Linked DNA regions of Oryzias latipes. The protein of the gene in region 2 interacts with the protein of the main gene of each other region in a biochemical or structural test. Links are inferred from orthologs where the notes say so. Each region holds a gene or a part of one and is shown on either strand. Other genes may lie near its edges.

What was found.
Region 1: the proteins of ras-related protein Rap-2a (region 2) and ralgds form a complex in vitro, tested with the Homo sapiens proteins (2 studies listed by BioGRID). The link is inferred for Oryzias latipes from reciprocal best matches to the Homo sapiens genes RAP2A and RALGDS.
Region 3: the proteins of ras-related protein Rap-2a (region 2) and nedd4 form a complex in vitro, tested with the Homo sapiens proteins (2 studies listed by BioGRID). The link is inferred for Oryzias latipes from reciprocal best matches to the Homo sapiens genes RAP2A and NEDD4.

What each region holds. Positions count from the first base shown.
Region 1 is NC_019867.2:33,311,566-33,316,675, forward strand, and holds the start of ralgds (ral guanine nucleotide dissociation stimulator), read left to right. Parts: upstream 1-1,521; 5' UTR 1,522-2,431; coding exon 2,432-2,452; intron 2,453-5,110. UniProt on the Homo sapiens protein: Functions as a guanine nucleotide exchange factor (GEF) activating either RalA or RalB GTPases and plays an important role in intracellular transport. Interacts and acts as an effector molecule for R-Ras, H-Ras, K-Ras, and Rap.
Region 2 is NC_019879.2:23,115,673-23,120,722, reverse strand, and holds the start of ras-related protein Rap-2a, read left to right. Parts: upstream 1-1,555; 5' UTR 1,556-2,279; coding exon 2,280-2,593; intron 2,594-5,050. UniProt on the Homo sapiens protein: Small GTP-binding protein which cycles between a GDP-bound inactive and a GTP-bound active form. In its active form interacts with and regulates several effectors including MAP4K4, MINK1 and TNIK.
Region 3 is NC_019861.2:21,566,765-21,571,940, forward strand, and holds the start of nedd4 (E3 ubiquitin-protein ligase NEDD4), read left to right. Parts: upstream 1-1,587; 5' UTR 1,588-2,169; coding exon 2,170-3,468; intron 3,469-5,176. UniProt on the Homo sapiens protein: E3 ubiquitin-protein ligase which accepts ubiquitin from an E2 ubiquitin-conjugating enzyme in the form of a thioester and then directly transfers the ubiquitin to targeted substrates. Specifically ubiquitinates 'Lys-63' in target proteins.

The DNA.
Region 1 (5,110 bases), on a different chromosome or scaffold from region 2:
TGGAAGCTTCGGATTGGATGTTAAGCTTCGTGTCTGTCATGGCGTCGTAGACGTGGCAGACCCGGAAGTAAACTCTCGACCAGAAATAGTTTGCAAAGAGGTTTTAATTCTCCTGGGGGTTTACAGAGCCTCCAAGTGAGCGTAGCTTGAATAATCTTTGGATGAAGATCTGACGTCCCAGGAGCGCGGCGGACCGTGGAACCTGAGGAGCGTAGCGTGGGGGAACCGAGGACGGCGGAATCAACTTGAGGTTGAGCAGGATGCCAAGGACGGCGGAGCGACTTGAGGCGAAGCGTGGACGCCGAGGACGGCGGGACCAGCGTGGAACATGGAGAGGAGCTCTGCCACGGGAACCAGCGTGACCAGTGGGAGATGAACCTGAAGGTGAGCACAAGCGAGGTAAGTAACGTGACTTGACTTGGTTTAGAAAATACTAAAAAGCCAGACATAAGCACCGGAGTGAGTATAACAAACTGGCGCTGGATACTGGAGAGGAGAACCCTTAAGAAGGCAGGCAGGAGATGAGGAGATGCAGGCCAGCTGGTTCCAATCAGCAGAGCAGGAGCAGGAGTGCTGGGAGGGGGAGGTGGCTGACACAGGCACCGTGACAGTGTTGTCTTACAGGTTGGTGCTTGGCGGATCAATTTGTAGTCCCCTACAGCGTTCTTGCGAACATGGCTCCACATTCAATTTGCCTGGTTCTTTTCCTTCCTGTGTTCCCTTCGTGGCGCTGTACTCGAACGGGAGCAGCCCAACGGTCAATGGTGCCTGGTCACACATAGTCATACTTGTAAATCTGAATATGGAATACCTCTGAAACACACTTCGTCTGACTTACACACTGATTATACATTTACATTTTCTTCATCTTGATGATATTTGGTGTTGGGGGTAGTTATTACCCAAAACTTTTATGGAAATTTTGTTTCATGGAATTGTACAGAGCCTTATGCCAAACTAAAAGAATGTGAATTAAAGTATGGGAATGCCAAACTAAAAGAATGTGAAAATAAATATATTTTTGCTGCATTAGTTGTCTGACTGGAATGATATTATTGCTAAAAATGATGCAGGAGTCCAGCTGTAAAGAAATGACAAAAGAGCAAAGAAAACGGAATGATCTGATTTGTTATTTCTAATTATTAATTTATTTAGGCTTTGTTTTTTTTGTTCTGCAGCATGTTCATTTTTGTATAATTTTGACAGAATTTATTTTTATGTAGAGCAAAATATTATTTGTTATGTAAAGTTTAACTTCATTTATTCTGGATTAATATGCCTGTTTTTATTCATATTTATGTTCCAAGAGTTTAGTTTTAAAGGTTTTACATTTTTAAAAGATTAGCTTTAGTGTGTTTAATAAATGTTTACCTTGTTCGGCCCCCTGTGCGACCGAGTTTGACCCCGCTGTAATATGAGTTGATAAAATGTATGCATTTTTGGTGTAAAGTGGTCAAATAAGCACAGGTAACACAAAAAGAATCCCATCAAATGGGTATGTGTGAGGGGGGGGGGGGGGGTCACTCGCCCGCCCAGGAATTATTTAGTGTAGAACCGCCACTGGTCGTAGTCAATGGGTTGTTGGGCTTCGTGCTGCGGGGCAGGGACACAGCTGTCTGATGACCAGAACCCGGACAGTGAACGCCTCGTTCGGCTGTTCAAGATGCTCCAGAACAACCCGAAAGACAGAAACTGCGATATCCGGGACGCCATGAATAAACACGCAATTGAAGTTCTAATATTCAGTCTTCTTGTGTTTTAGGTACGTTTGGAGGACAAACAAACAGTTGGAAAAATGAAAACTTTAAAGACTTTAAAGGGAGCGAGTTGCATTCAAGAGCGCCACTTTCGCCTCTGCATTGTTTCGCGTGTGATGCGTTCAGGATCCTCGTGATTTCTGCTGCTCCTCCTCAGCGTCGTCTCTTCTCCACCGGCAGCAGCATCCATTAAGGGTCACTGTACTCTCATCAGCCTCTTCTGACCCCGATTCACGTTTTTCCACCAGGATGCCGTGGTGGAGACGCAGCGAGCGCCTGTCAGGACTCGCGGACGCCAAGCTCCCCGTTTTCTCCCCGTCCTTCCAAGCGTGACTTGAAGGCAGCGGAGCGGCGATGTGAGCACCAGGAGACAATCGTCGATGGTCTGGCTGAAGCTAGCGCGCTAAGGTTAGCCGGGCCCGATCTCGGTGGGTGTTTCCCTCCCCTCGCCGTTCTCCCGTGAATCCCCCCGAAGGCCTCTCCGCGGATGTGAAGACATGCCCGAGCTTTCCAGGGGCTTTCTCCCAGGCATGAAGCCTCCTGGCGGCGTAGCCCCCCGGCCGTGAAGCATCCGCAGTCATTTTGTCCCCTCCGCGAAGATGATGCTGGCGGAGGAGCGGGTCTGACCGGGACTAGCTGGACGCTCTCTCCGTGAAGGCCATGATACCGAGAGAATGATAATGCTGGAAAAACAGGTAACATCTGGAGCCTTTGGCTCTGTATCTCAGAAAAATCTGACATTTTTTCACACTCCCATGACAACCAGCAAAAAACTGGCAATCAACCAGATCCAATGAAGTGCCAGCAGATATTTGGTACTTGTATAATATAGAGATACAATAAAGATGATAATCCTTCCACATTTCAGTTCATTCCTCTCCACATATTTCAGTTTCAGTGTAATTCACTGATAAATAAGTGCAGCTGTCAGATGAAGAGGGTCTTTTTGTTACCACATTTTAGGATCTTTAAAAGGTTGAGACTATAAATGTAAGCTTTCATTGTTGCTAAATATACATGGGGGGTCAATGCAGTTTAAAGTAAAGGAACAACATATTTTACACTTACAAACTCTTTATTTAAAGGCCATTTCAAATTAAGGCCAAAAGCTGAAAACTAAAACTACAACATTAAATGAAACTGACAAATAATAAATCAGCTTCAGTTTGCACCACTTTTCTCTTTTTTAAACTGTTTCAAGGCTCTGAGATATTGAAAATCTTTCATCTGATGATGCTCAGCACCAAACAGGCTGCAAGGTGATGCCGTACTGCCCGTCACAGAAACAGTAATGTGATTGTTTCTCTGTGTCTTTCTAAGATCCTTTATGTCTAATATAATTCAATTCAATTATTATTGTAGCCCAAATTCACAACAGTTGTCTCGATGGGCTGATATGGAGGTAGAGGAGATGAAGATGTTGAGGTTCTCCTTAGGAGTGACCAGGTTAGACAGGATAAGGAACGAGTACATCAGAGGGACGGCTCATGTTGCCTGTGTTAGCGACAAAGTCAAAGAAAGCCAGACTGAGATGGTTTGGACATGTTCAGAGGAGGGATAGTGGATATATTGGTAGAAGGATGTTGGAGATGGAGCTGCCTGGCAGGAGGGCAAGAGGACGGCCAAAGAGGAGATATATGGATGTCTTAACAGAGGACATGAAGTTGGCTAATGTTAGGGTAGAAGATGTCCATGATAGAGTGAGGTGGAGGACGATGATTCGCTGTGGCGACCCCTGATGGGAAAAGCCCAAAGAGAAAGAAAGTTGTCTCGATGGGCTTTCATATAGGTAATTGAAAAAGTTAAACATAAAATTAAAAAGATCATGAATACATAGAATTCATTCGGAAAATACTAAATTGACAAACTGACTAAACTAAACTGGCATCCCTGCCCTTAGACCCCCCTTCTCTGTAAGGAAAAACTCCTAAAAAACCGGATTCCGGAAAAAACAAAGAAACCTCAGGGGTGCCCACATGAAGGAGGGATCCTCCCCCAGGACGGAAAGGCGATTTACCAGAACTCTTAGAGAAGAATTAACTTAATCTAAATCTACAACTACATATTTAAAGTCCAGCAGATGAGCTTCATCCAGATGGAGTTAAAAATGTTTTACCCAGTTCTTTGTTGAACAGTGTCTTTTGTAGTTCACTAATGGGATGTAGTTTAGCTGCACCAGTTCAAAAAATTTGGGGGAAAAATAAATACCTAGATATTTGCTATTGCCTGATTTGACTGGTAGAGTCTTTGCTCTGCATTACTGTTCAGTGATAGTAAAAAAGATTTATTCCAATTGAGGAGTCGGATACGGAGGAGAATCCGTTAATGATTGTTTGCTATTTCACTTTCCGAATGTAGATTATGGAGAAAAAGTAATTTGTCATCTGCATAGAGACAAATTTTCTGATGGCTGTGTTTGGTTTTAATTCCTTTAATGCTCTCATTCTGTCTTATTGCTGCAACTAGAGGCTCCATAAATATAGCGAAAAGGGAGGGGGAGAGTGGGCAACCCTGTCTGATTCCTTTTCCAAGAAAAAAACTGTTGGAAGTCTGTTTGTTAGTTCTGACTGATGCATTTGGGTTGCAGCATAATATTTTAATCCAGTCAATGAATGATTCCCAGAACCCAAACTTATGGAGGGCAGCAATGAGGAACTTCCAATTTACCATGTCAAATGCTTTTTCAGCATCCAACGAGAGTATGGTCATTTCCTGGTTTGTAGTAGTGGCAAATTCTATTACAGTCAGTTGGTATCAATATTTGGACAGAGACACATTCTTTCTAATATAGTTTCTGTACATTACCACAGTGAATTTGAAATAAAACATCTCAGATGCCATTGAAGTGCAGACTTTCAGCTTTTATTCCATGGGTTGAACAAAAAGATTGCATAAAAATGTGAAAAACTAAAGCATTTTTTAAACACAATCCCTTCATTTCATGGCCTCCTAAGTAATTGGACAAATGAAATAACTGTAAACCAAATGGTCATTACTAATATTTGGTTGTTGGCAATGACAGCCTGAAGTCTTGAACTCATGGACATCACCAGATGCTGGTTTTCTCCTTCTGAATGCTCTGCCAGGCCTTTACTGCAGCGGCAAACAGTTGCTGTTTGTTTGTGGGCCTTTCTGTCTGAAGTTTAGTCTTCAACAAGTGAAATGCTGCTCAATTGGGTTCAGATCAGGTGACTGACTTGGCCATTCAAGAATGTTCCACTTCTTTGCTTTAATAAACTCCTGAGTTACTTTGGCTGTATGTTTTGGGTCGTTGTCCATCTGGATTATGAAAGGCCGTCCACTCAGTTTGGCTGCATTCACCTGGATCTGCGCAGACAGTGCTGCATTCACCT
Region 2 (5,050 bases):
TTTTCAGCACTTTTGCTACAGTCACATGACTGGAAATATGCGCTTATTATAATTTTTTTGGGAACTCTGCCTTATTTTCCTTCTGTTTCTCAATCGGTTTTGGTTTCACAGTTCAGAATTGTTTTAGGAAATTGCTTCAACTTAAGGTTTCCTAAAGTCTTGAGCCTAAAGCCATGGTCGCAGATTGTATTTCAAATTCTACCCTGAAAGGCCTCGTGTCAACTCCTTGGTTTGCTTTGAAGCTGCCAATGAAGGTGCCATTAGGTTACAAACTGAAATAAAATCCTAATGTTTTTCAAGAAAAGTTGTGCATAATTAAACATTTCATATGGACAGTTTTGGTCTGTAAGTTTAAAGTTATGTCAAATCTGATTTGTTGCAAATAAATTATATGTACCTGAAATTCAAAGTTGTCCGATTTGTTTTTTTGATTATTTAACATTTAAATGCTGTTTGATCCAAATATATGATAAATCATCTTTTGTTAAAGCGCTCCCAGTGCTCTTTTAAGTACGATTATGCAGTTTTAGGCAAAATCAAAAAACCTGTGTTGTTTTTTAGGAAATTGTTTCTGCAGAGCAACAGGAGTTCAATAGAAATTCGCCTCTGAGTTGTGGGCAGGACTGTTAGCGTGGAGCAGCCCTGCTTTTCAACATTATGTTGTTTGCATGCCTGCCCACGATCTTACAGCCCCTCACATCCCCAACATTACTGGCACAGGAAAAATGATGAGCAACATCAGAGTTATCCAGCCGTACAGTTTAGAGCCAGATACCAATTCGAACGGGGAAAATGAAGGATGGATCTATTTGTCTGCAAGTGGACGCATCGGAATGGAGTGGAGCAGACAGAGAACTTGTGGTCTGACGACTGTAGCTTCTACGTCACTGCTACAGGCTTTTTTTAAACTGCTCATAATTGCAGACGATTTCATTTTAGAAATGCAATTTTAATCTTATTATATTTATATATATGTATATAAATATATATATATATATTGTGTGTATATATTGTATATATATAAATGTATATATATATATATGTGTGTATGTATATATATGTGTATATATATGTGTATATATATATATATATATATATATATATATATATATATATATATATATATATATATATATATATATATATATATATATGTGTGTGTGTGTGTATGTATATATGTGTATATATATATGTGTGTGTATGTCTATATATGTACATATATGTATATATATATATAGATATATATATGTGTGTGTGTGTGTGTCCTCCATCATTAGAGAAATGCCTCAATAACATGTTAAAAACATGATTTGCTTTGGAGTGGGTTTTTAAAACTGCAAAAGTCACTGTAGTAAGTATTACAATTATTGGTGAACCGTCTTTCACAGCCCATTCTCAAATTTAGTCCTCGGCACAGAATGCTGCGTTGCCATGGTAACAGCATCTTCCTCATGTTTTGCTCCTCCTGGATACACATCCTCGTCTGGGTCCTGTGATTGGACGTGCTCTCCGTGGATGTCACCGGGGCAACCAAATGATGGGAATTGGAACACGTGAACGGAAGTGTCACCTCTGGATTTCACTGGCTCCCCTCCGCGAAGCTCTCATTCAGCCACGAATGAGACGTTGGAGGCACCGGCACTTCCATTGGGCTGGCCACGCGTCCGTCTGAGAAGGGACCGACCCCCCTCCCTCCCCTCATCCCACCTCCCTCTGCTCGGCTCGGTACGGTAGCCGAGCGGGGACCGGCTGGTTTCGCAGCGGCCGCGGGTCTCCACCCGAGAGTATGGCGGATGGGAGCGCGTTGGATAGCGGGGGAGAAGCGGAGACATGTCAGGGAGGGAATAAGGAAACAAAGAGAGGCCAGTTCTTTCACCCAGTGCAGATGTAGGCTTCCTCGATCCGGGTTTCTCCGAGGCTTCGCGCTCGTTCTCTGGCGTTTTATTTCCCCGATCATGGAGCAAGTTTGTTTTTTGTCATGCACAGAGACGGGTGAGCTCAGCGGATGAACCCCCGCTCGGTCCACGTCCTCGGGCCAGCGTTCGTGCGTCTCCCCGCTCGGTTCGGACAGCCGCGGTCCCCGCATGCGGGGGTCCGGCCTGCCATGGCGATTGTCTGACTATGAAGCCCGTGTCGGGGCAGCGAGTCTTTGTGCTCTGCCGTTGCTCGCGTTGACACCGACATGGCACGCGGATGCTGAGCGCCGTGAGTGCGGGATCCTTTCTTCCTGTTCGATTCAATGACAGCGTCGGTTCCGCGGCGACTCGACTAAATCCACGATGCGCGAGTATAAAGTGGTCGTCCTGGGCAGCGGGGGGGTCGGGAAATCCGCCCTCACCGTGCAGTTCGTCACCGGGACGTTCATTGAGAAGTACGACCCCACCATAGAGGATTTTTATCGTAAAGAGATCGAGGTGGACTCTTCACCGTCGGTGCTGGAGATCCTGGACACGGCCGGGACCGAGCAGTTCGCCTCCATGCGGGACTTGTACATCAAAAACGGCCAAGGGTTCATTCTGGTGTACAGCCTGGTCAACCAGCAGAGCTTCCAGGACATAAAGCCCATGAGGGATCAGATCATTAGAGTGAAAAGGTTGGTGGTGACCTCAAAAGCCCCCCCCCCCCCCCCTCTTTTTTTTATTCTTTTTACACTCCAGAAAACCAAACTCATCTTCTCCTTAGACTTCACATTGCTGACAGGGCACCAATCCTAAATACCATCTGCTTTTACAGAAACCTGCTATTATGTGGCTCCTGGATCCACACAGTGACTGCGGCTCCCTGCAAAAGCTTTAAATACCCATGATTCAGTGCAGCACAGAGACATCCAATGAAGAATGTGCGTGTGTGTCCTGCAGAGGAAGCCCCTGTCTCACATCGGGCCGGTTCTGCAGACGGGGAGCCCACGTTTGTGCTCAGCAGCCTTCACAAAAGAGCCGCGCCGTAACTTGCGCGAGCATCCGGATGTGAGGTCACTCGTCCTGCTTCATGGTTGATGTTGCATGATGTCATGAAATCCTACCGAGAGCTTAAATGTGTTGTGTCATGGATGCAGCTGCAGCAATCACCCACGCTGCATTTGTTTGTCTTTTATTTTCCGACCAGTGCGCAGCGTGCGCTGAGCTGCAGCTGTTCGGGGTCATCTGTCATGCGTTAGAGCGCTCCACAAAGACCAAGAGAAGGCACGTTGAGGGGTTTTGAGGATGCAGTTACAGCTCTGCGTCAGTTTTCCTGTTCCTGCAATTAAAAATCTCCACAAAAAAAAGTGAAGAGTGAAGAGAAAAACTCCAGAGATGTTTATTATGCTGATTAATTTAAGATCTTTTATGTTATTTGAATCTTATCAAACATACTTCCCGAACAATCCTGGTATAATGTGTCACTGCTTGAAAGAATGAGGTCAACATGTTTCCCCCACATGAATAGAAAATAGAAAGAGGTAGATCTGTCTGCAGTGTGCCAGTGTGTGTTCTTGTGTCAAAAGTGTGTGTGTGCTCATACAGAACGTCGCACACAAGGCAAAACTGTTGTGAGACTTTATATCTAGTATTGATTCTGATGATTTTTCCTGACACGGCTGCATCTTTTTTAGGGCTTAAGCACTTTTCATAAGCGTATCCAAGTCAACCTAAAGGGATGTAATGATTGTGAGTGGTCTTTTCTTTAGTTATTAAGCTTCGATCCACATTGCGTTGGCCTCTAAAGATTCTCTCCAATGACAATCGTGTTTTGGGTGTTTTTAACATGTTCTTGTAGCATTTTTCTGACGATGGAGGGCAATATACAGAAAAGTACCATTAAAATTGTGTTTAGGGTTAAATCGTTGTGAAGCAGAGGGTGCCTGCTTGAAACTCAGCATGGGAGGGTTAAAGTAGAGAGCCATTGGGTCCCGTTTGTTATGGTCTTTGGGATGACTTAAAAGTAGATTTGATGATGGACACTCTACCTCCTTTAGCTTCTTACCCGTACCTTGTGTGAGAACTATAGTGATTGGTCGGACAATTGAAGTGGGTCGTGTGATTAACGCTCACTGATTTGGCGGTGCATGCTGAACCCATTAAAGGGTCTGAAATGTGAGATTTGATCTGCATTTTAGGAATCTCTATGTTCACCCATCCACCCATCTTCTAAACCACTCAATCCCTTTTGGGGGTCACCGGGTTGCTGGGGCCTATCCACGCCAATAGTGGACAAAGGCAGGGCACAGCCGGGACAGGTCACCAGTCAGTTCCAGGGCCACACAATCAATCACACTAACACACTCTTAGGAACAATTTCAGATTCAACAATTAACATATCAAGCATGTCTTTGGACTGCGGGAAGGAACTGAAGTACCTGGAGAAAACGCATACATGCAAACATGCGAACTCCACACAGAAAGGTCCCAGCTGGGAATTGAATTAGGGCCTCCTGGCTGTGAGGCGAGTGCTAACCTCTACCCCACAATGCAACCTTTCTGTTTTCCAATTACTCTATTTGGCTACAGTAACAAAAATCTTCCTCTGATTCAAACACATCATAAACGGTCATCCCTGCATTTACTGCAGTGATCCAGGGATTTAGCATAACAGCGCGTTAGCAGGCCCCAGGACAAAAAAAAAAGTGTTTTCTAGCGGTTACCAATGAATGACAGTCAAAGATTTAACTGGAAAAGTCAGTTCTCCTCTTATAATTTCCTTCTTTGGTCTTGTCAGCACAGTGTGACGTTTCCCACCTAGTTTGGTTTGCTCAATGTACCAACTCCTAAAGGACCATCCTAATAAGAAAAGACCCAAAAGGCAAAATCAGCTAAGAAGTCAGCCTTTGAACAAGTTAATAATTCCTGTTTTCCGATCATTTGAAAACAGAATGGCTTTCTTGTCTCATTTCTGCTTGGGCAATAATATATTTTAGTATCAGTCAAGTTATAGTTGGTTGAATGCTGTATAGCATTCAACCCTTTGTTTTCCTCTTACGCTATCTTCCGCCGTTTTTCGGCACTTAACTCCTTCTACAATTTTCAACCTATTTTAACCATTCAACTATTAAACTGTTCAGCTCTTTCAGCTT
Region 3 (5,176 bases), on a different chromosome or scaffold from region 2:
CATCTCTTAGACTTCTCTAGAAAGTGGATCCGTCCTTGTATTATTTCGGTTTCTCTTCATTTAAGGAATCCTAAAACGACGCCCTTTCCTTTCAAACATAGTGAAGTTATCAAACACATTGGGAAACACTGATAAGGTTGGGTTGGCATAATGTAAATTCTCATTAACCATTTGCACTGTAGTGGTTCATTTTGGTCTCAATGGACTATCTTTCAGAGATTCTGCTTCCTATTTATTACATCCTAATGGATATCTTAGCCTCCATGCTTCTAATTTGTCAGTATAGGACTCAATGTGTAACCACAAGGCTCTTTAGAACAGAAGATTGTCTTGCTCCATTTAGATCGAGAACTGAAAGATTTCCTGGATCCTGGATGAAGTGGTGACTCAAACATCAAACTTCTATGTTTTATCAAAAACATGTGTCCATGGCAATTGCTTAGAATGATTCCTTAGAATTTGATAGTCTATGTTTATGCTGTAATTGGTTTTTATCTAATAGGTACCATCTGCAGACTACAAGTTTTGATTTTCTGTTCACTTTTGATACGCGCAACCTGATTCTGCTAACGATTTTTCCAACTTTAAAGAAGTCAGTATTAAATATTGTAAAAAAAATAAAATTATAAATATTTGGCTAAATCAGTGATGTGACATTGTCCATTCCTGGTAGGTTCCATTCCATACATGTTAGTGTTTCTCCGCTCGATTTAATTTTGTATTACTGCTCAATTTCAGTCTCACTGATACATCCAGTTGGAGCAGTTTGATTTATTTCAGAGCTAGATTGGTTGGTTTACTGTAAAGTAAAATAGTTAAGATTTAGACTGACTCCTATTTTACCTCTTCAAATTCTCCTCAGATCTTATCTCAGAGTTTCCATTTGTAGCAACAATATCTTGCACTCTTAAATGTTGAGTAAATATGACCTTGTTTACTTCTGCGTCATGGAACATGAGATCCGGCAAAGCTCCTTCATTGTATTAATATATTACATCATGATACAGTTGTGTAGATTGACAAATATGTGTGTGGTGTTAGTCATACATCTTATCTTATGGCTGACCTATCACCATCACTCTCCTCTATCAGTTCTGGGGAGTGACTCATCTGCAGTCATGTGGTTCACTGGTCATGTGAGACATTGTTCCACCATGAAAGTGAGCAGGAAAAAAAGTGTCTGCTCGTGAGTCATGTCATTATCCTAGCTTTGCTTCTTAATATTAAACATTACCACCGCTCTGTATTGGAAAGCAGAGTAATTATCGGAAATAGACCAGCCTAGCTAACAATAAGCTTCCATTAATAAACTGGACTGTCAACAGCCATGGAAAAGAAATCAGAGCAGCAACTGGCTGTTACATGCGGAGTCATATAACCAGTGTCGTGTGACGGTAATGTCACAGTTATTATAGTTTTTATTTTAAAAGAAATATCCTTTAGCTCAGTGTTTAGCAGTTTGTTGGATCCCTGCTCAAAACAAGTAATTTAGCATTCTAGTTTATCACTTTGGAAGTCTCAGCATTAATGCTGTTGTGCAGCTTTAAATCTGTCTTACAATCCAAATGATCTATTTCTTCAACTTGAGCTTCAGTTTGATTCAGAATTATGTTGAAAGTCTTTCATTTTGATTTCCTGTAATTTCCTGTAATTCAATAGTAGAAGGTAAAAATATTTGTTGGAGGAAGGAGCAGCGAAACATTAGATGAACTGCAGTCACAGGAAGTGCAGTCCTGAGTGAGTGAGCCAAAGCAGATGTAACAGTTCACTAGACATTCAGCGTAAGTCTGCCTTCTTCAAGCTGGTTTTTCTTTCTTTTTAAAAGAGTAAACAAGATTGAATAAGATCGAGAGGGCAGACTTTCGATAATGGCATAATTACTTGTGTTTTACTGTAACTTTGTTTTCTGTTAGGGGGTCTGCTCTGGTTTTAAAATTGTTCATTTGGGTCAAGTATCCAAACAGAACCACTGGCCCCTTCTGACTTAAAGCTGAGATGAGCCTGGAGAGGAATGTAGGTTGTCACCAGAGCTATTTTGGCAATGTCCAGTCGCTAATGATTGTGATCACAGCGGAGTGCGCAGCAGTTGCTTTACTTGCTTCTTTTTCCTACCAGCAAGTGTGATCATGCTGCTCTTACAGGCGCTGCAGGGATTAGGGAGTTAAACAAATGGCGCGTCGGCTCCGCTTGCATTTCGCGTCAAGGAGAAGCAACACGGACCCCCTGTCACAAAGCCCGAGCAGCCACGATGAGGAGAGCGGAGTTGGTGCGTCTGTACGTAGTCCCACACAGAGTCTGGCGCACAGTTCTGTCCACTTGAAGGTGACTCCTCTGTCACCAGACTTTGCCAACAGTCAATACTCTTCAGTTTTCATACCGAGAGTTAACACTGGAGGGTGTAATACGAAGAGCGTTCTACAAATCTCACTGCAGCCCTGTGGACAGCTCAGTGGAGAGCAGGATGGCAGCATAGAGGATGGAGACCCTGGGGTTAATGAAGGCGGCGGAGGGTCGTGCCACAGCAGCATGGCAAGTGATGCTGGTTACTGCAGCAGCAACAGCATCTTTGAACCGGAGCCTCCAGAAAAGCACAAGACCAACCACGAGAGAACTCGACTCTCCTGGAGAACCAGAGTCCCACTGCGGAGGTGCTCGTCTTTGGTTATATTTCCAAAAAGCCCCTGCAGCACTCCACCTGCCTCCCCAGTGAGTTCAGGAGCTTTGCCACCTCTCCTGCCAGCAAGAGGATCTAGTCATTCAACTCCTCAGTCATCTACCAATACATTTTCACAAGACGACGAGGAAGTAAGTTACAAAGGGTCCACCACAGCTGCAGTCAGTTGCCAAAGTCAGCCAAGAGGAAACTGTTCAGCAGCTGAGGACTCGAAACACACGGTGCACTTTAATCTGCCTGTACAGGATAAACAGCAGTCCAAAGCTGAGAGCAGGAATGCAGGGGCAGAAGTTTCATCAGCTCCAGACAGGTCTAATCGTCACTCAAGTAGTTTGCTGCTGCATTTTACCCCCCACAGTCCACAGGGCTCGACAAAGGCAGCTCTCAGTAAGGATGCAAATGTGGAATATCCAGAGGCTCATCACCCTACTAATCGTGCTGAGCATGTACATGATGGGAAAAAAAAACTGTATCGCAGTACCTCTGCTTGTTTGTTTCCTTCTACAAAACCATCGCCCAAAAGGAAGCCTTGTTTAACGGGGAATGGCCAAGACTGGTCTGAGGATGGTCGCTGTCACCGTGCCGTGCAAAGGAGTTTTTCCCTCGAGGTGCCGTACCCTAACACCGAAATTTCATGTCACGTTTCAAAACCGAAGCTCAGCAGCTCTTATTCTCCCCATGTGCATATTCATTTGTCGCCCTGTTGCCCCACAAAGTTGCCCAACTCTACCAATGATGTAAACACAAGCCATAAATGGAATAATGAAACAAAGAGTTCAGGTCAGAGCACCAAGGTGAGTGCTATATTTAACGCTAACACCGACTAACAGCTGAATGCCTGAACTGGGATGTTGTGAAAACTAACATCTGTCAGAATTTTTTTTTAATGTAGATTATTGCCATATAGTTTTTCTGTGACATAAGTTCTGCTGAAAAAGTTGCTAAATAAGTCTAGCTTACAAAGATGTAATCTTACCCATCAGGATACTATTTAAAACGGGGTAATTGGTGCAAAATGCAAATGACAGGGTTTTATAAAATATGTAAATAACAAATAATTTAGAATTTTTGCTACCAGAAAAAAAATAGTTTCAATAAAATTTAAAGAACAATGCTACATATTAAGTACACATTTGTTTTTTCTAACTCTCCTTTTCATTTACTACCACTAAAGTGTTGCTTACAAGGGTTAGCCTTCAGGCTTTGTTCAAGACGTGCTGTAACTCCATAAGATCTTGAATACAAAGTCACGCAAAGAACAAGTACAGTGTGGACAAACACTTAGAGATATTGATTTACATTATATTTAATCCTTCCAAATGTGGATTTCCAAATAATGTGTGAATTGCAAAGACATGGTTCTTTACCATCTTGGGGGCATAACAATCCAATGTTGGGCAAACTCAACAGTTCCCTACTTTTATGATTCGGTTAGCACTATGAAGGATCAACTTAAGTATATCCCAAGGCTAATTTTAGTGGTGGGAAAAGTGCTGCCCCTTGCTGACTTAAATAAAGGGGCTCTGAAATATTCCCCCTGACTCCAGATAGTCTGGTGGACTGAAGCACTGCTTGGTCCTGTGGATTCAAATTTAACAGCATGATACTAGAGCAGCACACAGTCATGCCAGCCATCTGTGGACATGGCATGTGTGTGCGTGTTTCCCAGTACGTGTGCTGCCTGCACTGTTGTTCGTCTTCCAAGCAATGTTTGTTAAGTATTATGTGTCGGTCTCCCCACACTTTTGGCAGGTTGTAAGAAACTAAGGATTTCTGTCACATTTAGATGGTCTTTTCATTTTTAAAGATTTTAATGTTGCGCCCTCCTTTTAAATCATACTTTGTTCTAAATGCAGCAAGGACTACTAAAAGGTACTTGTAATGGTTATTCAGTCAAGTCTCACATCACACATGTGCAGTTAAAAACCTTTTTTTTTTACTCCTGTTCCACTTGCACTTCACCACCAAAGACATTTACTGCGTTATGTGTAAACTTGTCTCATACTGTAATAATGCTTGTATGTTGTTCCTAAATTTCATGCTTTTCCCCTCAAAATTTGTTAAATTTGTTGAAGTTTAAATACTTCCTCAGCTCATTTGCTGTGTTACTGCTCTATATTTATCAGAATGTTACTGTCACACATGTACTGTATAAAAATACATAAACTGGACACAAATATAGCCGCTTGCTTTGGTTTTTCAAGTTATTCTTTCATTAGTGGTGTCATGCCAGTCCAAAATGTCCAAATTACAGAATAACTAGGACTGCACTTGATCCGCACTTGATGAAGTGTGAGCCAGATGTTTCATGTGTGCTTTATTTGCAAGTATGATTGGTTTTTCATTTTATAATGCTTAAAGTACTAGGGTTTTACCTCACTGATAACTCTGCTGGTATTTAAATAAATGTACCGGTATACGAACCCAACAGAAAAAAGAGAACTATGGATTAAGTTTAGGGTGTTGTTAAATTGTGATGTTGGCTCTTTTGTTATGTTGTTT